3 linked regions of the Schizosaccharomyces pombe genome follow. Each later gene encodes a partner of the first gene's protein in a complex. Each region holds a gene or a part of one and is shown on either strand. Other genes may lie near its edges.

Region 1 (8,132 bases):
ATGCAGAAATTTAAAATAGCTAAATTAAAAAAGGATTAGGAGGGAATAGTATTGATTTCTTTTCTAGATCAGCCAGGGATGTTACAATGGAAATTTTAAAAGAAACCAAAGAGAATTAAGATGATGATTAGTATGGATCGGTTATCTTTAACAAAAGGGCAACCAAAAACAAAGGACGAAACAAACAGAAAAACGAAAAGAAAAGACGCTCGAAATTAAAAAGGTTCAAAATAGAAGACACAGCAGTATTGAACAATGACTGATACTTCAATTTCTTAACAATTTTCTCTTCAATAATGAGAGTGGACAAGGGGGAGGAAGAAAATAGTATACACTCGCACGCTTTTATAAAGCAAAGTTAACAAAGGCAGACCGATATATCAAAGAGAAATGGCACACACTTGCGACAATGTCAGCGGAAATATAATGAAAATCTTTTGAAAATAAAATTTAGTCGATATCTGATGATCTGATAAGTATCCAGATACGATCAATGTGGGCACGCCGCTTATTTTCCGCTAAAACGTAAAGTTAAAATAATTGTTGGTAAACTACTTTTTTTTTGGTGGAGGATATTTTTTTGAAATTTAATCAAAGGATTCAAGCACCAAATCACAGAATGCTGATCCAAGGAAAGAAGGAAGGAAAGGAAAACAAAGATTCAGAATAGGTTGAAGTCTATTTAAATTCTGTTCTTCTCTTTTCACTTTTCTTTCGATGAAAGCTATTAGACTTTGCCTTGGATGTTCAATCCACTTATGTTTGCTGAGTTTACTTAACTTCACTCAGATAAGATGGAGGTGAAGGCAACTTAACTAAGTAAGAATAGAGTGAAAAATAAGAATTATCTGATGGTCGGCAGCGTCTCATATTTAAATATTCTTCCTTGTACGGGACTGTCTTTATTGATGGAAAAATTGCGTAATTTTTGTTCAGCCAAGAACATTGACACGATCATACAGTGGGTCTGTCCAGTTTTCACAAGCTGCTAAGCTCCTGAAGTAACGTTATAACGTCGAATCTTTGATGAAAAGTGGAAGCGATCATCCCATTTTTCCCCGTTCTTCCGCTTGTCGTTCGTTCATGAAGGCAACCACTTGAGGAGATTTGGTTGACCCCACGTTTCCATTCAATATATCGGAAGTATCACCTAGTAGCATTTGTACCTCACACTACAACTTGAAATGCCACTAACCCTATATGTTTGAATTAATCCGACTTCGCAACTGCCTGTGTCTTGTGCCTCGCACATAGACTGATGTCAAGGATAAAAATTATCAGACGAAATTTTTATCTGATAGCTAGTTACTTTATTGAGCACGCTAACCTTACATACGTCAAATGTTATTTTACCTACGAAATGAAATAATATGTCTATTGCATAGAGAACATTGTATTCATGAAGAGTCTATACTATTCTTATTGTTCTTCTAATACTTAACTTACTTTTTGTGGCCCATGCACTATTTTTTCCAACTGTAACTATGACTGCAATTTTCGTGACTGTGCGCCGATCACACGGCGGGGGTACAGTGTAGTATAGGGTTATAGGATAAAACTGACAGTGTGTAACAAAAACAGAAATGTCACCAGGTTTTACTATAGCTACTTAGTAAGCCCAAGCCAAAGAAGCACGGGTACTGACCCGATACTTTCATCTCTTGATCGAGTGTATAAGGGAACACTTGGGGAGCAAAGACCCATTTTGGAACTTGTTGATTTCCTGATGATTCCTAATTTTTCTAATAATATGTTTCTTTATTAAACAGATCAACTATCGTACACACCCTGACGCTTGTCCTTGGATTACGGGAATACTCAGCTCAAAAAATAACAAAATAATGCGACGGAAGGAGAGCACAGTGTGAGATCTGATAGCACAAACTGGTAAAAGTCGGTTTATCAATTTGACCTGTACTACCCATCGCATGATCTTAAATTACGCCTTTTCATGCACAAAAATGGAAAATCTTTCAAGAAAGGAAAATTTACTCTAACAGACGATATTGTCTCACTATCCCATGTTTGTATTATGTGCAGACTAATTAACTTAACGTTCTTTTTAAACTACGTTATACTTGCTTATAGGAGACAACGTGCTTAACTGAAATGTTAACAGTTGCATACTTAGACTTATCTTGGATAGTGAGTTTGGCCCCTTTACCCTATATGCCAAAAGATGACCCAGGGGGTTAATATTAAGGCCTAAAAGGTAGGAGGAAGCAAGAAATGGTAAAATGGCACGTGCCAAGCCAAACAAGAAGAGATGATAGACACGCAGCTAAAGAACATAGCAAGCTTAAAGAACAAATAACAAAGCATTTTGGTTGGGAAATTGATCAGTTGAAGAAAGTTATTAAAGTTAATGATTATTATAGATTTACTAGTAAATACATAAAAACCAAGGAAAAGATAAGAAAATAAAATAAAATATAAATAATAATTAACGATAATTATATGTATATATAAGAGGATAATAATTTTATATATACACAGCAAATCCATCCTATATTTAACATAGTATTCCTCTATTAAGTGCGAATATTCTTTTACTTAATTCAGCCTTTGCTTATTTAATGCGAGTTGTCTCAGCCCTTAGTACAATGTCAAATCCTCTTTAAAAGATAGTTATTAAACCTTTTGTTATTCTAATGACAACTGTAACATATCCTTGACTTGTTTACTATCCCTGCTGTAATTTCCAACTCAATTTTTATTCTACATATATAAAGCATCAGTTAAAGATATTTTCGTTGCTTCTCTCCATCATTTTCACAACCAGGAAAAATGTTTATTTTAAAATTTCCCATACTATTGACCATGTAGAACCGTAATAACAATCGTAAACATTGCACTTAATGAGCTTTAAATACTCTCTCAATTCTTTCATTCAGTCTCCATATCCGAGGGATGTAGCCTTCTCCAGTCTATTCTATATCCGTCTTTGGGTGCGGCTATACTTGCGTTGTATAGATTTTCTCCGTATGCATCGTGATATGTCTCAATTTCGCGGATGAGATACGGACTTGGGATTTCGGGCAGATCGTCATACAATGTCACTAGCTTCCGCAATTCATGCGATTTGTTCATTTGCATTCTTTATTTGGCTAACCCTTGTAAAATTGGGAAAACACATTTTATATTCTCTTTGGACCCATAAACACTTAAAGTGACTTGTAACTCATCCATCCTAGTCTTGGTACAGCAAATGAATTAGGTTTGCTTACAACTTGAGGATCGTCTTATACTTTCAGTATTGCCAATAATTTACAGTTACAATGATACTTAAAGCTTGCGTTTGTTTAGAGCCGAATATATATATATATATACACGAAAGGCTTTTTAGAACCACCTCGTCATAAATGTTTCTTTACTAGGCTCGCTAATTTCCATCTGTGTTTTTTTTTCACGCTAGCAAACTATGCTATTGCAATTAGTTCATTCTTAACGTCCTAATTCATCTAGTACATGTCATTTTAACTAAAAGAATTTTTCCTGAAAGAAAATTGGTTCTTTCATTTGAATATCATTCTTTCCAAAAAAAATGTAGAAATACAAATAAGATTATAAATTGGCAAAGACGCGATTGGACTTTAATTAAATACCCATCTACAGCCAATAATTAAAAAACAATAATAATTGTAATAAAAAAAAAGAATTTTTCAAGAGTTGTTCATCACTTCATATTTTTTCTTCGAATGTTAATAGAACAGCAACTTCTATTTATAAGATTACTTATAGTTTGTTAATTATTCCTCTCTGTTAAATTGGCAGACATCAGGAGAAGAGACGCAGCAGACTCAATTTGTTATACTTTCCTTATTAACATTTTTTTATTTTTTATTTTATTTTATTTTTATTCAAAAATTCTTTCTAATTTTTTTATTCTTACTGTTCGTCTTTCGTTCTTAAGTGCCGTCATGCATGTTTCTCAATTAGAATTTCAAATCTAAATGCTTTTTTTCAAAACAAGTAATTCATTGATGAGCCTTTTATCTTTACTAATAGTTCTATAGTCTACCTAAAACAAAAAAATAACCTATTGAAAAGCCTCGATTGTACACAACCAAATTTAATAAAAATTGGATTGCAAAAAGGCTTTCTCATTACTCAAAACAATATCTTTGAATTGCAAACTTTCAATTTTACATTTCTGACTGCAAGTTATCCATCAAGTTAAAAGAGCTCGCCCACAAACCCTGGTGTAACTACAAAACCTTTAACTTACCGCTTGCACTGTACGTATATCCAGAATGGCTAAAAAGAATAAAGCTCGGTAAGACATACATGCTTAATTTAATGCGCATTTTTAACATTTATTTTTCAGTTTGCTTGTAAAATTATTGTCCACCGCTGGCACTGGATTTTTCTACGTTCGTTCACGTCCAAAAGCTGCTCCTAAGCTTGCTTTTATAAAATATGATCCCAAGTAAGTTATTATGGATTTTCTAAAGCCTCATTTAAGAAGCTAATGAATGAACCCATAGAATTCACAAAAGAGTACTTTTCGAAGAATCCAAAATGAAATAAAAACTTCTTCCATTTCAATGATAGTCTGAAAATGAAATGCTAAATTATGACCGATCAATCTACCTTTTTTCTTCAAAAACTTTATGGATGTGCATTAATTATGTATTAGCTTCCCAACCTACATCTTATACGACATAATTCTAAACAGCTGCGTGAACATAAAGACCCTTATATTATTCTGTCATATCTATAATTCCTATTTTTATTATTATTATTTAAGAGAAGGACTGAGATGTCAAATTTTCAAAGTAATAAGAATGTTCCTTTCACCTGTACCAATTGCTAGCCGAATTAGAACTATAGTAGTAACATCGTTTGTGTTTACTACTCTTGTAAGCACTGTAGCTCAGATCATTCGATTCTAAAATTCTCAAGCAATATTTTTAATACAAAATGGTTGTACTATTTAGAAATTATGCAAAACATGGCAAAGCATTGAATTGCTAAAACCAATCGTCGTTTAATGTCTTCGTAACATTTAATTATTTGTTTTCTATTAGCTTATACGATGCAATTATTTTTATTCCCTCGTTCCAATTCTTAGTGTAAATTTTTGTCTACCTACATTTTCTATGTGGAGCAAACTACTACACTTTTCAACGCTTTGATCACGATGCCAAAGAAAGCTGCATTGGACGAGCTTAAATGGAAGGAAGTCAAGCTTCCTGACCACCTAGACGACTTCGATGGGTTTATGGGCTTGGAAGAGATTGAAGGTGTGGATATCAAATATCAGCCAAAAGGTGCTATGAAAGAAGTAATTTATGAGGTATAATTGTTTATTATCTAATTTATTAACAAACAGTTACCAGAAGTTCATGAAAAAAAAGATAAAAAGCCGGAAAAGCGAAAAAAAGATCAAAAAGAAGCTAGTGAAAAAAAGAAAAAGGGAAAACGTACTTCCCCTACTATTGAAATGACTTCACTAGGATCAAAGGTGACTTCTAAAAACTATAATGAATTCTCTACATTAGAAGAAGAGGATGAACACAATTCTCATGGTGTGGACGTCTCTGCTTGGGCACACTTTTCACTTTCACCGGAAATGCTTGGCTCGTTATCTAAAGCTGGCTTTTCAAAACCGATGCCAATTCAATCATTGGTAATTCCTGAAGCTTCTATTGGATTTGATATCATTGGAAAGGCAGATACCGGTTCAGGAAAAACTTTAGCTTTTGGCATTCCCATTTTAGAGCATTGTCTTCGCAATGTAGATGCAAAATACGTACAGGCTCTAGTTGTTGCTCCTACCAGAGAACTTGCTCATCAAATTTGCCAACACTTTGAACTTATCAAGCCAAGTCCTAACATTCGTGTTATGTCTATAACCGGTGGATTAGCAGTACAGAAGCAGCAGAGGCTTCTTAACAAGCACCCTCACGTTGTGGTTGCAACTCCGGGTCGCTTGTGGTCTGTCATCAACGAGAACAACCTTACAGGAAACTTTAAGAAAATCAAGTGTTTGGTATTAGATGAAGCAGATCGTTTACTGCAAAAAAGTCATTTTGAAGAATTGAGCAAACTACTTGAAATTTTAGGAAATCCCATGCATACTCAGCGTCAGACTTTTATCTTTTCTGCAACTTTCGATGAGGGTTTACAGCAACGCCTTAAAAAGAATATGAAAGGCAATATAACTGAGAAATACAACAGCCCGATGGGTATGTTCAATTAGAAATATTTTACTTTCTCACTTACTAACGACTGCATAGAAAATATGTTGAAGGAGGTTCGTTTCTTTGGCAAACCCAAATTTTTGGATGCCAATCCTCAAAGTGCAGTGGCAAGCCGCGTATTAGAAGGGCTCATAGAGTGTGCTCCAGCTGAAAAAGACTTGTATCTTTATTATTTGATCATGCGTTATCCTGGAAAAACCATGGTTTTTGCCAATGGTATTGAGGATATTAAGAGAATCACTCCTTTTCTAAATGAGTTAAAAGTTCCATCCTATCCTCTACATGCTCAATTAGATCAGAAAAAAAGACTTCAATCTCTTGAAAAGTAAGTTATTTTTATTTATATGTTACTAACTAACAAGGTTCAAAAATAATCCTAAAGGAGTCCTTGTTTGCACTGATGTGGCCGCCCGTGGTATTGATATTCCTAGTGTTACGCACGTAATTCATTATCATGTTCCTCATACAGCTGATATGTATGTTCATAGAAGCGGTCGTACCGCTCGCGCTAACGAAGATGGCGTTTCAATTTTAATGTGTGGTCCTAAAGAACTGTCACAGCTGAAACGACTATGTTATCGGTTGAAAAAGAAAATCGAGACCTTTATTAATTTTCCTGTGGATATGTCAATATTGGACATTTTAAAAACGAGGGTCGTCTTAGCACATAAAATTGTAAATCTCACTAGAAAAGACGGAAGAGTGGGACGTGAGGAAGCTTGGTTAAAATCGATGGCTCAGGAATTGGGAGTTGAAAGTTCTGATGATGAGGATCCGGATTTGCCAAAAAAATCTGAATCTAGTAAGAATAAGAAACAGATAGCGCATCTTCGCTCAGAGCTTGCTCCCTTATTACACGAAAAAATAAGAACAGGATTTTCTGGTAGATACTTGACGAGCGGTCTTGTAAATATGGCTGAAAAATTAGCCAACGAAGAAGTTCATGATAATATTATCGGAATGGACTCAATTAGTGCTTTGGAAGTTCTGCAAAAAAGGAAGAAGTAAAAAAGGGTTTTTACTTAGCTACTTTTCATATAGCACGGGTTTTCATTTAGGTTTTTATACAATGGTTTTTTGGTATTTTATAGTTATGGGTTAATAATAATATTACTGCTAGATAAGTATCAACAAAAACGTCGTATTAGACTATATAAGTGAACGAATTACTATAAGATATATCATTAATTATAGTAGCCTTATGTATCTGGCTTAAACATAAGCGAACGAGGGTGCATTTACACGTTGACTTTACATGCCTCTGGCATCTGTTTGCTTTCACAGGCAAGAGCATTAGAGGTCTAGTTTCTCGTCTCTAAAAAAGCTCAACGTCTAATATAGTTCAACCTGAAGCGGTCTTAGTATTAAAAACCATAAACACTAATTAGGTGGTCATAACGTAAAATGAAGTGAAATAAATAATTTCAAAAAAGTATGCAGCTTTAATAGTCAATCACAATTTTAATTCGTTAAGAATACGACTAGCCAATGTCTTATATTGCCATGAGTTTCCACTAATTCGATGAAAAGAAACGCCACGAAGAGAGAGTATAGGGACTTTCACAATATATATTTCAAAGGCAAGGTTAGAGGCAGGCGACTCACCATTGTCATCTAATGGGACTGTGTCCGGCACCGATCCATAAGAATCAGTGGTAGAATTAGAGCCATAAGAAGGCTTACGTCGTGTATGAACAGAAGTCGATTTTGTAGGGGTTCGGATACCCTGAGGTTTATATAGACATGCATAACCACCCTTGATCTCTTTATACTCAATATCAAGCATGCCCATTACCCGAATAAGATCTCGTTGAATTGACTCAGTACTTTTAGTCGATGTAGTGGAAACACTGAACAAGCCTTTAAGGAAAACAGGCTTTATAGGATCCAATTTATCCGTAGATTTGGATGGGGAAGTAGAGTTCT
Region 2 (5,279 bases), on another chromosome or scaffold:
CCCAATTTTTTGCAATTTATAAGAGTGGAACTTGAAGAAACAAAAATATAACGAATAAATGACCATGTTTTGAGAATGGCATCAACTGCTACTCAAAACGCAAGCACTCGATATTCCCAAATTTGGATCGACCAACCTGCTTCATTGCCGTTCCAAGATTCGATAAATTTAATTAAAGAGGATAAAGAAAAATGGAAAAAAGAAAAAACTGCCTTTTTAATTGACTATGACTGGTTCGAAGGATACGTTGACTTTATATATGGAGAAGGCGACAACCCTGGTCCTATAACTCAATGGAGGCTGCTGGATGAAAAAAACGAGCTTAAACATTCTTTGGAGGAATCTATTGATTATAGCATTGTCTCTGCTTCGCTATGGCATATGCTTGTTGAGTGGTATGAATTTTCTTTAAAGGTCTCTACAGTACTTGTAAAAGGCATTATTAATTAAATTCAAAACTCATATTCATATATGTTTTGAAAGCATTGTGTCTTAGTTTTGAATATTTCATTAATTTATGTAGTTTGCATTACTTCCCACGGTGCCTAAATATATAGGTTCCCTTGGATTTTGAGGCCTCTTTTCAATTCCCATTATGTTATTAGCTAACTCAAATATAGGTTTGGATTAGAAGGTCTAGCTATAGAGCGAAAAGTTCTTTTGGTAGGATTGGCTGCTGAGCAAAAGCCATTCGTAGATATCTATCCTATAAACTTTACTTTGCACGTTTTATTCGACCCAATAAACGGTGAAAACACGAGCTATTCACCATTATACCAAATTGATGAACCATATCATAGTGATGAACCCTATGCGTTTAGCTTTTCCCGAAGTGATACCCTTCGGTCTTTGTACAAACAAGTGATGGAAGCTTTCCAAATATCTGATGGTACTTCTTTCCGTTTATGGTATCTAAACAAAAGTAATCTATCTTCTAGGTTTGTAAGTTTGTCGGAGTTCAATGATCAACCTGCGATTGCTTTGCTTTCCGAGTATGCTGTTTGCATGACTATTTTCGAAATAGATATTGCCGATGGAAGCTTATTGCTCGAGTTTCAACATCCTAACGGAGAGTGGTTATCTGACTCTATAACCAAAGAGCAAAATTTAACAATAAATAAAGAAATCGGACTCTGCGGTCTTTACAATTTGGGTAATTCATGCTATATGAATTCTGCCCTTCAATGTATGATACATACACACGAACTTACAAAATATTTTCTTAGTGATTCTTATGAAAAGGATATTAATTACAACAATCCGTTGGGAATGATGGGGAAAGTTGCCTTGTCTTATGCTAGTCTACTGAAGATGATCCATCATACTGCTGATATGCACTCGGTGTCACCTAGTTCTTTCAAATTTATAATTGGCGAGTTTAATACCTATTTTTCTGGATATCGTCAGCAAGATTCTCAGGAATTCATCGCCTTTTTCTTAGACGGGTTACACGAAGATTTGAATCGAATTCAGATAAAACCATACTTTGAAAGGCCAGATTTATTTGACGAACACCCATTACATGTTCAGAGAGTTGCAAATCAATGTTGGGATATTCATACAAAACGAAATGATTCCATAATTGTTCAGTTGTTTCAAGGAATGTATAAAAGCACCTTAGAGTGCTCCATATGCTATCAAAAATCAACTGCGTTTGATCCGTTCATGTATCTTACTCTTCCACTTCCTACTAGTGCAAAATGGCGACACAAGGTAGTGTACGTCCCGCCATTTGGCACACAGAGTCCTGTGGAATTGTATTTGGAGCTTCTCATGGAAAGTACGGTAATCCAAATGAAGTTTCAAGCTACGGAAAAGCTTCAAAAGATGGGACTCGAATGCGGGGAACTTACTGCTTGTGACATTTATCGGGGAAAGGTGTACAAGGTATTGAAAAATAAAGACAAAATATCTAAAAAAATTCATAAATGGGATCATGTTGTACTTTATGGAAGTACTGCAAACGGATTAACAATACCTATCGTCCATGGATGTAAACGACCGGCAATGCCCGGATCATACCAGTCTAACGATGTGTTTGGATTTCCTTTACAACTCAACGTCCGTTCTCGAAATGTACTCACAAATGATTTAGTGAAAGAGATTGTCGAACTGTATCGAGTTTATGCAGGCATAGACGTAGCAATCGGAACTCTTCAGCTTGGACTGAAGCGGATGGAAAGTAAGGCCGGGAAATGGGAATGCATAAAGGAAATTGAGGTTAAAAGGTTTGAAATAGTGGAGGAAGAGGAAATCGTTATTGACGACAAAACTGTAATTATGTGTCTATGGAACGATCAACAATATGAAAAGTTATTTTATAACTGCGAATGGATATTTGAAAAAATTCAGTTCCATATGGAGTCCATCACCCTTGAAGATTGTTTACTGGAGTTTTCCAAGCCAGAGCAGCTTGATTTACAGGATTCCTGGTATTGTCCTGGGTGTAAGGCATTTCGACCGGCAACAAAACGGCTGGAGATCTGGCGATTGCCAAAAATACTAGTCATTCATTTAAATCGATTCAGCGGCCACGGTGGAGATTTGCGGAGAAGACGTAAACGAAGGGATTTAGTAGTTTATCCAGTATTTGATCTCAATTTGAAGCAATTTTTGAGTCCATTTATAAAAGATCATGAGTGGCTATCGTCACAGAAATCGATGCTTTACGATTTGTATGCAGTGGACAATCATCACGGGTTTATGAGTAATGGTCATTATACTGCCTATGCAAGAGATGCATCGAGCCAAACATTCTTTAAGTTTGATGATACAGCTATTTGTGAAATAGATCCGGAGGATATTGTCACATCGTCTGCTTATGTATTGTTTTACAGAGCAAAGAATTAAAGAGACGTATAATAGAGGTGATATGAACTTTACTCTAACTAAAGGCTAATGTCGTTTGTTTGAATATGTATGAAACTGGAAATTGAATATGAACGAAGACGAGGAAGAGGTGGGAGTTTTTGCAATAAAAAAGTAATAAAATAAGCTATTAAAATAATCCATTACATTTATTATTCATAGAGCATTAAAATTATGAAAAAAAAAGTAGTAAACTTTTGCAACCAGACGTTTTTAAAAGCCAGTGGGATTAACACGATTAGTACTACGGGTCCATTTTGGTGATTTATGGACACCCTTGCGGAAGCCTTGGAGACCGGCACCTTGAGTCTTCCTGGTAAACATAGTGTATTTATCCTTTGGTGACATTTGGGATTCAGGCTGATGGTTAGCAACGAAACTTTCAATTCGTTTGCACGATTGATTTTTCTCTTGCAACGCCGTGCGCAAAACATCTACCACCTCATCGACGGCACGAAGTCGTTGACGGTGACGATATTTTCTTCGCTGGGATAATCTCCAAGGTACTTTATGAACAAGACCGCCAAAGCGAGCCAAAGTCGAGTTAAATGCACCCAGCATATTTTTCGTATAAAATCAAAAGGAGAGGAAGAAGGTTGGATCAAAAAGAGCAAATAAAAATTTTTTGTTAAGTTTTTGGGTGATAGACAAATTCTGAGTAGTTGATGGTTTGTCACAAAGTAGTTTACGGCTCCAACGAAACAGCAAAGATGTGAACAAAAATTAACTTGATTAGCGTCCTAAATTGATTTAAATATTATATTGCCATTCAAATATAAACACTACACCTCCAAAATGGTGGAGTTGGTTAACTGAAGAATGATATAGGTTTTGGGTAAGTTCATATCCTTGGGTGTACCTTCCAACTCGAATCCACGTGACCACCTGCCAGTAAGAATCGGCTCATTTCTACTTCCCACCTGCTAGATAAATCGCGATAGGGCATTTGCAACCAACATCTCGAGAGTAATTAGCTCCTGGGTTATAACCGTTAAATACCACCTTTAAGGAAGAATAAGCAGAACTTGATCATGGCAGAGAAGACAATTACTGTTGAAGAAGTGTTAAAACATAACACTCGTGATGATTTGTACATTGTTGTAAAAGACAAGGTGTATGATATTTCCAAGTTCCTTGACGCTCACCCTGGTGGTGAAGAGGTTCTTGTTGATTTGGCCGGTAAGTAAATTTTTAGGGGTACGCGATAATGGAGGTCTTGAGGAAGATTGGTTGTAATGCATAAAAATTGGTCGCGATTGTGTGGAGTCGTAGAAATCGAAGTTTCAGACAACTAGCGTTACAAAACTTTGAATTTCACGAGAGTTTAGGTGTCGCATATACACATGTTCTTTAATTTGAAAGATTCAGGACGAATCTTTGCCGTAGGAACGTACAAAAATAGATGCGATATCCTGAATAAATACGATGTTTAATGCGACATTGTCATTGAAGGTGAATTGTTAAGTACAGTCTATATGTTCCAAGATTGATCGCTCTCTACTCGATGTTTTGTATTTCCAGTACTCTGAATACACTGAAATACATAATTTTGGAAAGATTGATTGACGATATCGCTTCGATTCTTCACATACGGCTTTTGGATTGGCTATACAAAGTTTCTGCCTTTCTCTACCATCGCTAGGGGCTTTTTTTTGTTCGTTTCTGTGATTATTAACTTGTTTTAGGTCGTGATGCTAGCGGTCCTTTCGAGGATGTTGGTCACTCTGAGGATGCTCAGGAGTTGCTCGAAAAATTTTACATTGGAAACTTGCTCAGAGTATGTCATTTATTTTTTCTCTTCGTTCGCCATAGGCTCGTTAAAATTTTTGTAAAAATTTGCTTCGACACTCTAACATATTTTAGACTGAAGATGGCCCTCAGCTTCCCACAACTGGTGCTGCCGCTGGTGGAAGTGGATATGATTCTTCTCAACCAGTTAAGCCTGCTATGTGGCTCTTTGTCCTTGTGATGGTTGTTGCTTACTTTGCTTTTCGCAAGTATGTCCTCAAATAGACTGCTTAAATTCCCAGTCTTACTTTTGCGCTCAAAGAAATTTAAAGGCCTTCTTTCGTTTTGGGTCGTTTAAATGTGCTGAATATGGTTTTGTGATTTTGAGCTAGCAAGTTTCGTTTTTTGTTGTTGTTAGATATCTACTTTAGCTTTCTTTACCTGTTCGTACTTAGGATATTTACGGATTCAATGTATTCCTTTAACACGCTTTGGTTTGGCTCTTAATGTGAATGGCATATTAATATTAATAGAGACCTTTGATTTGTCTGGACGTAAATTTAATTCACAACGGTCTTATGCTTGCTTTGCGTAACTGTATAATTGATAATACTTAGTGTTATATTTTTTGTATTTTCGTTGTTTGTTCTCTCATAAAAAAAAGTTTTATAGTTTCTTCTATT
Region 3 (5,869 bases), on another chromosome or scaffold:
CACTTAATGAGTGGCCTTTTTCAATTATCTTTTGAACAATCATTCTTGCAATATCGTAACGAAGGTTTGGATCTTGCGCATTAAATACAGGAAGGAAATTCTGTAGCTCAAGACAGTAAGAAAAGGAAGGGAAATATGTAAGAGGAAGCAATAAAATTGCGCAAAGACTTTTTTGTAATGGACGTTCATGAAGAGCGCTTCGTAAGGAGGGCTGGTTAATGATATGTTCGTTAATGTATTGAAAAACACGATCTGCATACTGGGGTTTATAAGGGTAACACCGCAAGAAAAAATTGAGGATGCTAGAAAGTATAGAAACAATACAATCTAGTGGAAGACCACTACGAGATTGAATAACTTCAACAACATGTGACCATAAAACCTCTTGAATAGCATATTCTGGAGGAATTACTTTATCTCCAGGGCATTCTTGCTCGTCTTTTTGCTGTACTTCCTCATTAATTTTTATGTCTCCTAATTTTTCGGTTACAGTCTCAGATTCATCTTCATTAGAAGAATCAGATTCATATTCACGTTGGACATAGTCCGTAAGGCGATTCAACATAGCGACCACAAGTTGGGTTACGTTTACGCTTGGAGAAAGCTTTATGACCGTACCGAAATATGTATCGAGGGTTTGAAGATGCATATTATCAGAAAACGCCTGACAAATTACTTCAACAAGATACTCTTGTGCAAGTGAGTCCCGACATTCAATAATTTGCTCGATTATGGCAGGAAGGACATGATCTCGGTAAGTGTCTATATCGAGGTTTAACTGAGATAATCGAACCAAATTCAGCCCAACAAGAACCTTTAGCTCATTCCTTTCTTGGGTACGTTTGGAAAATTCTTTAATTGGACCAAGATGTTGGATTCTAACCCACAATTTATTCATTTCCGTAAAGTTGATAACTAAAAATTTAACAGAATCGAGTACGGTTCCTTTGCGAGATGCATCTTCCTCATCTTCTGATCCCAAAGGTAATCCTTTTCTTGTTTGGGTAAGCAGATAATGGCGCAAAAAAAGACCTCTTAACGGATGCTGAACACCTCTACACATATCTAACAAATCATTCATAATTTCACGTACAAGGGCATTAGGCGTTTCCAAATAAGCGCTTCCAACGGTTATCATGAGATATAAACGAGGGACAATACTACCGGCATATTGAACAAGTTCATAAAGGTCCATTAGGTTGTGAGTACCGTTCAGATGCGTTTCCAGCAATGTGCCCCCAAGTAAACGCAAGCTTTCCATATTAAACATATACAGCTCATAGTATTGTTTTGGAGTAAGTGCAGAATTTCTCATTTCCACGAGACTAATACTGCAATTACGAAATGCATCCATCAATCGTCCTGTCTGCAAGTTTCTTTGCATCAGCCTACTAGACTGCTTGCAAATATTTAAGGACTCTTCCAAGCTCCTTGTAATTTCTTCGTTAGCAGTATTAATTCCGTTCATAGAGCCCTAAATATCCACTTCCAAGTGTTTCAATTTAACCAACGTAATTGTAATTTCAGTATAGTTTTACTAGCGGCCCAACTTTCGAACAGAAAAACAGGATGTTTGTTATTCTTTTTAATTCACTAATATTAGCAATGTTTTTTATAATGGGTTCGTTGAAATGTCTACAAATAAAGTTGGTGGTACTGGTTGAGATATATTGGTAGATCTTGAAGTATTGCGCGCAGCACAGCTTGGAATCGCGCTTCGCTCAATTTCAAATTGACCATTTTCATATCACAAATATCGCGCCTAAATAGTATATTATTTTGATAACAATTAAAAGAAACTATAAATCTAATCATCGGAAAGGTTCACACTACAAGATTCGTCTTAGACCTCTAAACTAACGGTTTTTGAATTCTACATTCAATTGAGAATTTATTTAAGCTGCTTTTCTTTTTATTTTGTAAAAACTTTCTTGACGGATTTCTTGGTGCACCCATTTAATTGAAATGAGTATTATGAAACCGACAACTCGATTTTTTCGCTTCAATTCCCTTGAACTAGCAGTCTCACCTTTTCAAAGAATTTATGGGCAACTGGTATGTCAAGCTTATAAAAAAAATCACCGTTACTTACACAGTTATTTAGAGGTTTCTTCGTAAACAGCCAAAACCGTTTTTGGTAAAACTGTTAAACAACGAAGTTTCAAAGCTAGGAAGGCAAGGTATGCTAAATTTTTCATAATTATAATGTTCTTCATTTCAAACCTATAATAGGGAGGTAGTGGTTACATCCTTTTATTATAAGAAATGCATTCTTTTAGCCGTCGTAGGAAACTACTAACTTTACAAAAGGTGATGTCGTCTCAGTGACAAGGGGATATTATCGAAATACACTTTTCCCCAAGAAGCAAGCGATTGCTGTTGATGCCTTAAAATCTATGAAAGCACATTTGTTACAAGGGTCCGAATTCTCGACGAAAACGAAGGAATAATAATACCTAAACTCTCACTTAGTTCAATCAACATAAAAAGAATTTATTGAGTTTATTAGTGGATTAATTAAGGCTTAGCTAGCTGCAATTTGAACAATTCTAGCTTTTCATTACGAGATATTGTTACATTACTAACAAGAATTACGAAGTATTCAGCATTGACTTTTTTCTATAAAAAAATATAAAAAATTTAATTAAAAGGCTTCACTAGAAGCGTAGTCTCTTTCTGAGTTTGAATATTATCGTTATTGTAATATTTTATCAGGGTTGATGCTTAGTGTTTCTCAATTACAATAACAAGCTTTGGATTTTCCTATAATAGTATAGTTAATATGAAATTTAAATCCTTGAATGGTAAACGTTTACTGCGTATTGTGCGGCCATCGTTTCTGCTCTATCAGCTCGTCTAGCATCTTCTTCTCACAGCTACCAACTATTTTGAGTTGGATCCAAAATCATCTCATAACTCGTGTTTATTATTGCTAAAGCAGCAGAGAAAATATTTTTCATTACCTTATTCAGCTTCAATGAAAATTAATTTGTTTTTTGTGTTTCTATTTGAACTTCTGCATTTCGTGGCAGCTTATAGTTGTGAAGGAGATGAATCAGCTGCCATTGAAGCTATGAATGTCTTACAGGTACCGTATGAAAAATACAACACAGACCCAGTTTGCGCTTTTGACAATTCCACCGTTGTCGAACTTTCAGATAAAACCTGGGATCATGTCATTGAATCTGGCAAATGGTTTGTGCAGTTGACTGCTGAAGGCTGTGCTAACTGTACTCTTGGAGAGCTACTTTTTAACGTAAGTAATGGACTGCATTTAATGTTGTCCAAATGCTCTTGTTATGAGATTGAATTTTGAGCCTCGGAAATAAATTAAACCATCTTTGGATTTAATTGAATCTGTACTAACTAATTTTAGGACCTTTCGCATGCTTTTCATGAAAAATATCCGGATGTCCACTTTGCCCGTGTTTACTTGAGCAGTAGCCTCGAACTTTCTGTACGCTTACTCATTTCTCGGATTCCTTCTTATTATTTCATCGATAATCAAAATTTCTACCGTGTTTCTCCTCAGGTTCTTCCCAAGAACAAGGCAATCGCCTTATATGAAAAAGACGGGTTCAAAAGTATGAAAAAAGAGCAAGGTTTTTTCTCTGTTAACGGGCCCTTGAAGTCCTTTTACTGGGTCTTTGGAAAGGCACTTGCACTTTACGGACACTTAAGTCAAAAATACACCCCTCTTGGAATGAATGTAGCTATTTTTGGGATCTCTGCCTACATAATGTATCGCTCTAGCAAAAAAGCGAAACAAAAACAAGCCGCTGCTGCTGCCGCCGCCGCTGCAAAAAAGAAATAAGCTATGTGGAAAATACTATTAGTTTTTGATAATATCAATTTTTTGAATAATTATACGAGAGTTTGTTACATGTTCTATATGTAAGGCACCGCTCTAGTAAAGGTTTATACCCTATTTGTTTCATTCCTTCCTTTTTTAACAGAACGTAGATTTTCCAACCTTATTGCTTGTTTGGAGATTCATTAGAGGAATCATCTTTTAGCTTAGAATAAACGGCAAAGTACTGCCCGTCTCTTTTCTTAGCATTCTGAAATACATTCCACGGCTCTTGATCGGGTAATGATGGTAGAGATTCCGCATTAATAGCATGATTCAAAGTACGAAATGGTTCCTTAATGAAGGATGTATCAAGTCTCTCAATTGCATGCATTTGAATGATTCCTTCGTTGAGTTTTAGAATTGTTCTTTCATTCTCTTCCTTAGAGTCTGCTTCACGAAGACCAACGAGCCTCAGCAAATGACCATACTCAGTTAAGCCAATTGGTTTGGGTGGATTTCCTTGGAGAATTCGTTTAAGTGAAACCTTTGAAGGTTTCAAAAATGGCATAGTGAAAAGGAAAATAGAGCTAATTACAAGAGAAAAATATAGTACAGGTTAAAAAAAAGATTCAATCTTAAACACTTTGTAAGTTTTTCAAATGCTTTGAAACAGCTGTCGAAGTTGTAGTCGGTTCCTACAATTTAACGACTAGGTTGTAAGTCTGGGTTTTTTTAGAATTAATAGTAAAGGAATATATTAAATCATTCGGTAAGTAAAGTCAATATAATCAGCTTCTCTAATTAGGAGAACTATTTTTCATTACTATGATAACCGTTTCCCATTCCCTAAATTTACGACATCCTGCGATGTCTGTATATAACTTTACATAGCAGTGTTCCAGTACGTAATATTGTTGAATGCTTGCGTAGAGTAACGACTTTATTAAAATTGGTTATTGCAATTGAATAAGGTAATATAAAATGCCACATTATTAGCACTTTAGGTGTCTACATGTTTCGCTATTTTTTAATGATGTATGAGAGTATTGTTTATACCCAAAATTGTAAGCGCATTTTCCATCCTTCTGCCTATTACAAGAATCGCGTAAATCATGAGAAAAATTTGGGAATTAAAAAAGAAAGAAGCTCAAAAAGAGAAAAATGCGTCAGGGATTAGTCCAGCACAAATCCGAATCCAAAAAGGTGCGACTCATCATGTTGATAACTTTTCGCGATTTACTCGAAACTAACCATTTTCGATGAATTTAGACGTTACAGATTTAGAAATCCCATCTACGATGTCTACAAGCTGGCCAGATCCTATAAAATTGAACGTGCTACATTTAGAAATCCGGCCTGACGAAGGTAAGTTTGTGATTCCGCATGAAAGAATATTTGGTGTAGACTTTTTGAGACTATTATTTTTTATTTTGATTAACATGAAAAGGGTATTACAAGGGTGGGAAATTTAAATTTCGAATCCAAATCGACGATAATTATCCTCATGATCCTCCTAAGGTTAAATGTCTAAACAAAGTATGTCAGTCATGCTCTAAATTAGAGTTGCAGCTTATGGTATATTTTTTGCATTTAAGAAAATAACCATTATAACATGTTTTGAACCCTTTCGTTCTGACCTACTGTTAGATCTATCACCCAAATATCGATATTGAGGGAAACGTATGCCTCAATATTCTGCGTCAGGATTGGAATCCAGTGTTGAATTTGAATTCTATTTTGGTTGGATTGCAATTTTTATTCTTGTCACCAAACGCAGAAGATCCACTCAACAAAGGTAGGTTAATTACAATTTTTTGGGGGGCAATGAACTATTTCTTGTTATTGCATTACAAGGAAATGATTATTCATCTCTTAACTATCATTTGATACTCATTTTTTCTACGATCCTTTATTATGGGATTTATAAGGTTCTTTACTGAGGACAATGATTATGATAAGCAATTTTAATATAAGAAATCTGGTTTGCTCCTTAACAAATTTTCTAGATTTATTTAACTATACTAACAAACGATATCTTTTAGAGGCGGCGGCTGATTTGCATAAAGACCCTCAAGG

Evidence for each region.
Region 2: mrpl39 (region 1) and mrpl31 share a complex: the UniProt entries of both Schizosaccharomyces pombe proteins name them as parts of the mitochondrial large ribosomal subunit.
Region 3: mrpl39 (region 1) and SPOM_SPCC777.17C share a complex: the UniProt entries of both Schizosaccharomyces pombe proteins name them as parts of the mitochondrial large ribosomal subunit.

The regions. Positions count from the first base shown.
Region 1 is NC_003423.3:2,697,371-2,705,502, reverse strand, and holds mrpl39 (mitochondrial ribosomal protein subunit bL33m), read left to right. Parts: upstream 1-3,751; 5' UTR 3,752-4,253; coding exon 4,254-4,276; exon of another isoform or gene 4,277-4,327; coding exon 4,328-4,429; exon of another isoform or gene 4,430-4,460; intron 4,461-4,487; coding exon 4,488-4,530; 3' UTR 4,531-4,768; downstream 4,769-8,132. Other genes in the region: ATP-dependent RNA helicase Mak5, read left to right, coding at 5,144-5,299, 5,336-6,191, 6,243-6,531, 6,569-7,214; MARK/PAR-1 kinase Kin1, read right to left, coding at 7,660-8,132. UniProt on the Schizosaccharomyces pombe protein: Component of the mitochondrial ribosome (mitoribosome), a dedicated translation machinery responsible for the synthesis of mitochondrial genome-encoded proteins, including at least some of the essential transmembrane subunits of the mitochondrial respiratory chain.
Region 2 is NC_003421.2:887,008-892,286, reverse strand, and holds mrpl31 (mitochondrial 54S ribosomal protein mL60), read right to left. Parts: upstream 3,702-5,279; 5' UTR 3,430-3,701; coding exon 3,082-3,429; 3' UTR 2,992-3,081; downstream 1-2,991. Other genes in the region: ubiquitin hydrolase Ubp1, read left to right, coding at 76-395, 621-2,850; oca8 (cytochrome b5), read left to right, coding at 3,900-4,047, 4,554-4,645, 4,732-4,881. UniProt on the Schizosaccharomyces pombe protein: Component of the mitochondrial ribosome (mitoribosome), a dedicated translation machinery responsible for the synthesis of mitochondrial genome-encoded proteins, including at least some of the essential transmembrane subunits of the mitochondrial respiratory chain.
Region 3 is NC_003421.2:1,615,155-1,621,023, reverse strand, and holds SPOM_SPCC777.17C (mitochondrial ribosomal protein subunit L9), read left to right. Parts: upstream 1-1,965; coding exon 1,966-2,055; exon of another isoform or gene 2,056-2,104; coding exon 2,105-2,180; exon of another isoform or gene 2,181-2,310; coding exon 2,311-2,450; 3' UTR 2,451-2,878; downstream 2,879-5,869. Other genes in the region: retromer complex subunit Vps35, read right to left, coding at 1-1,468; SPOM_SPCC777.12C (ER stress response thioredoxin family membrane disulfide oxidoreductase), read left to right, coding at 2,978-3,256, 3,377-3,814; protein Gta3, read right to left, coding at 3,975-4,361; NEDD8-conjugating enzyme Ubc12, read left to right, coding at 4,906-4,996, 5,063-5,158, 5,241-5,329, 5,441-5,588, 5,836-5,869. UniProt on the Schizosaccharomyces pombe protein: Component of the mitochondrial ribosome (mitoribosome), a dedicated translation machinery responsible for the synthesis of mitochondrial genome-encoded proteins, including at least some of the essential transmembrane subunits of the mitochondrial respiratory chain.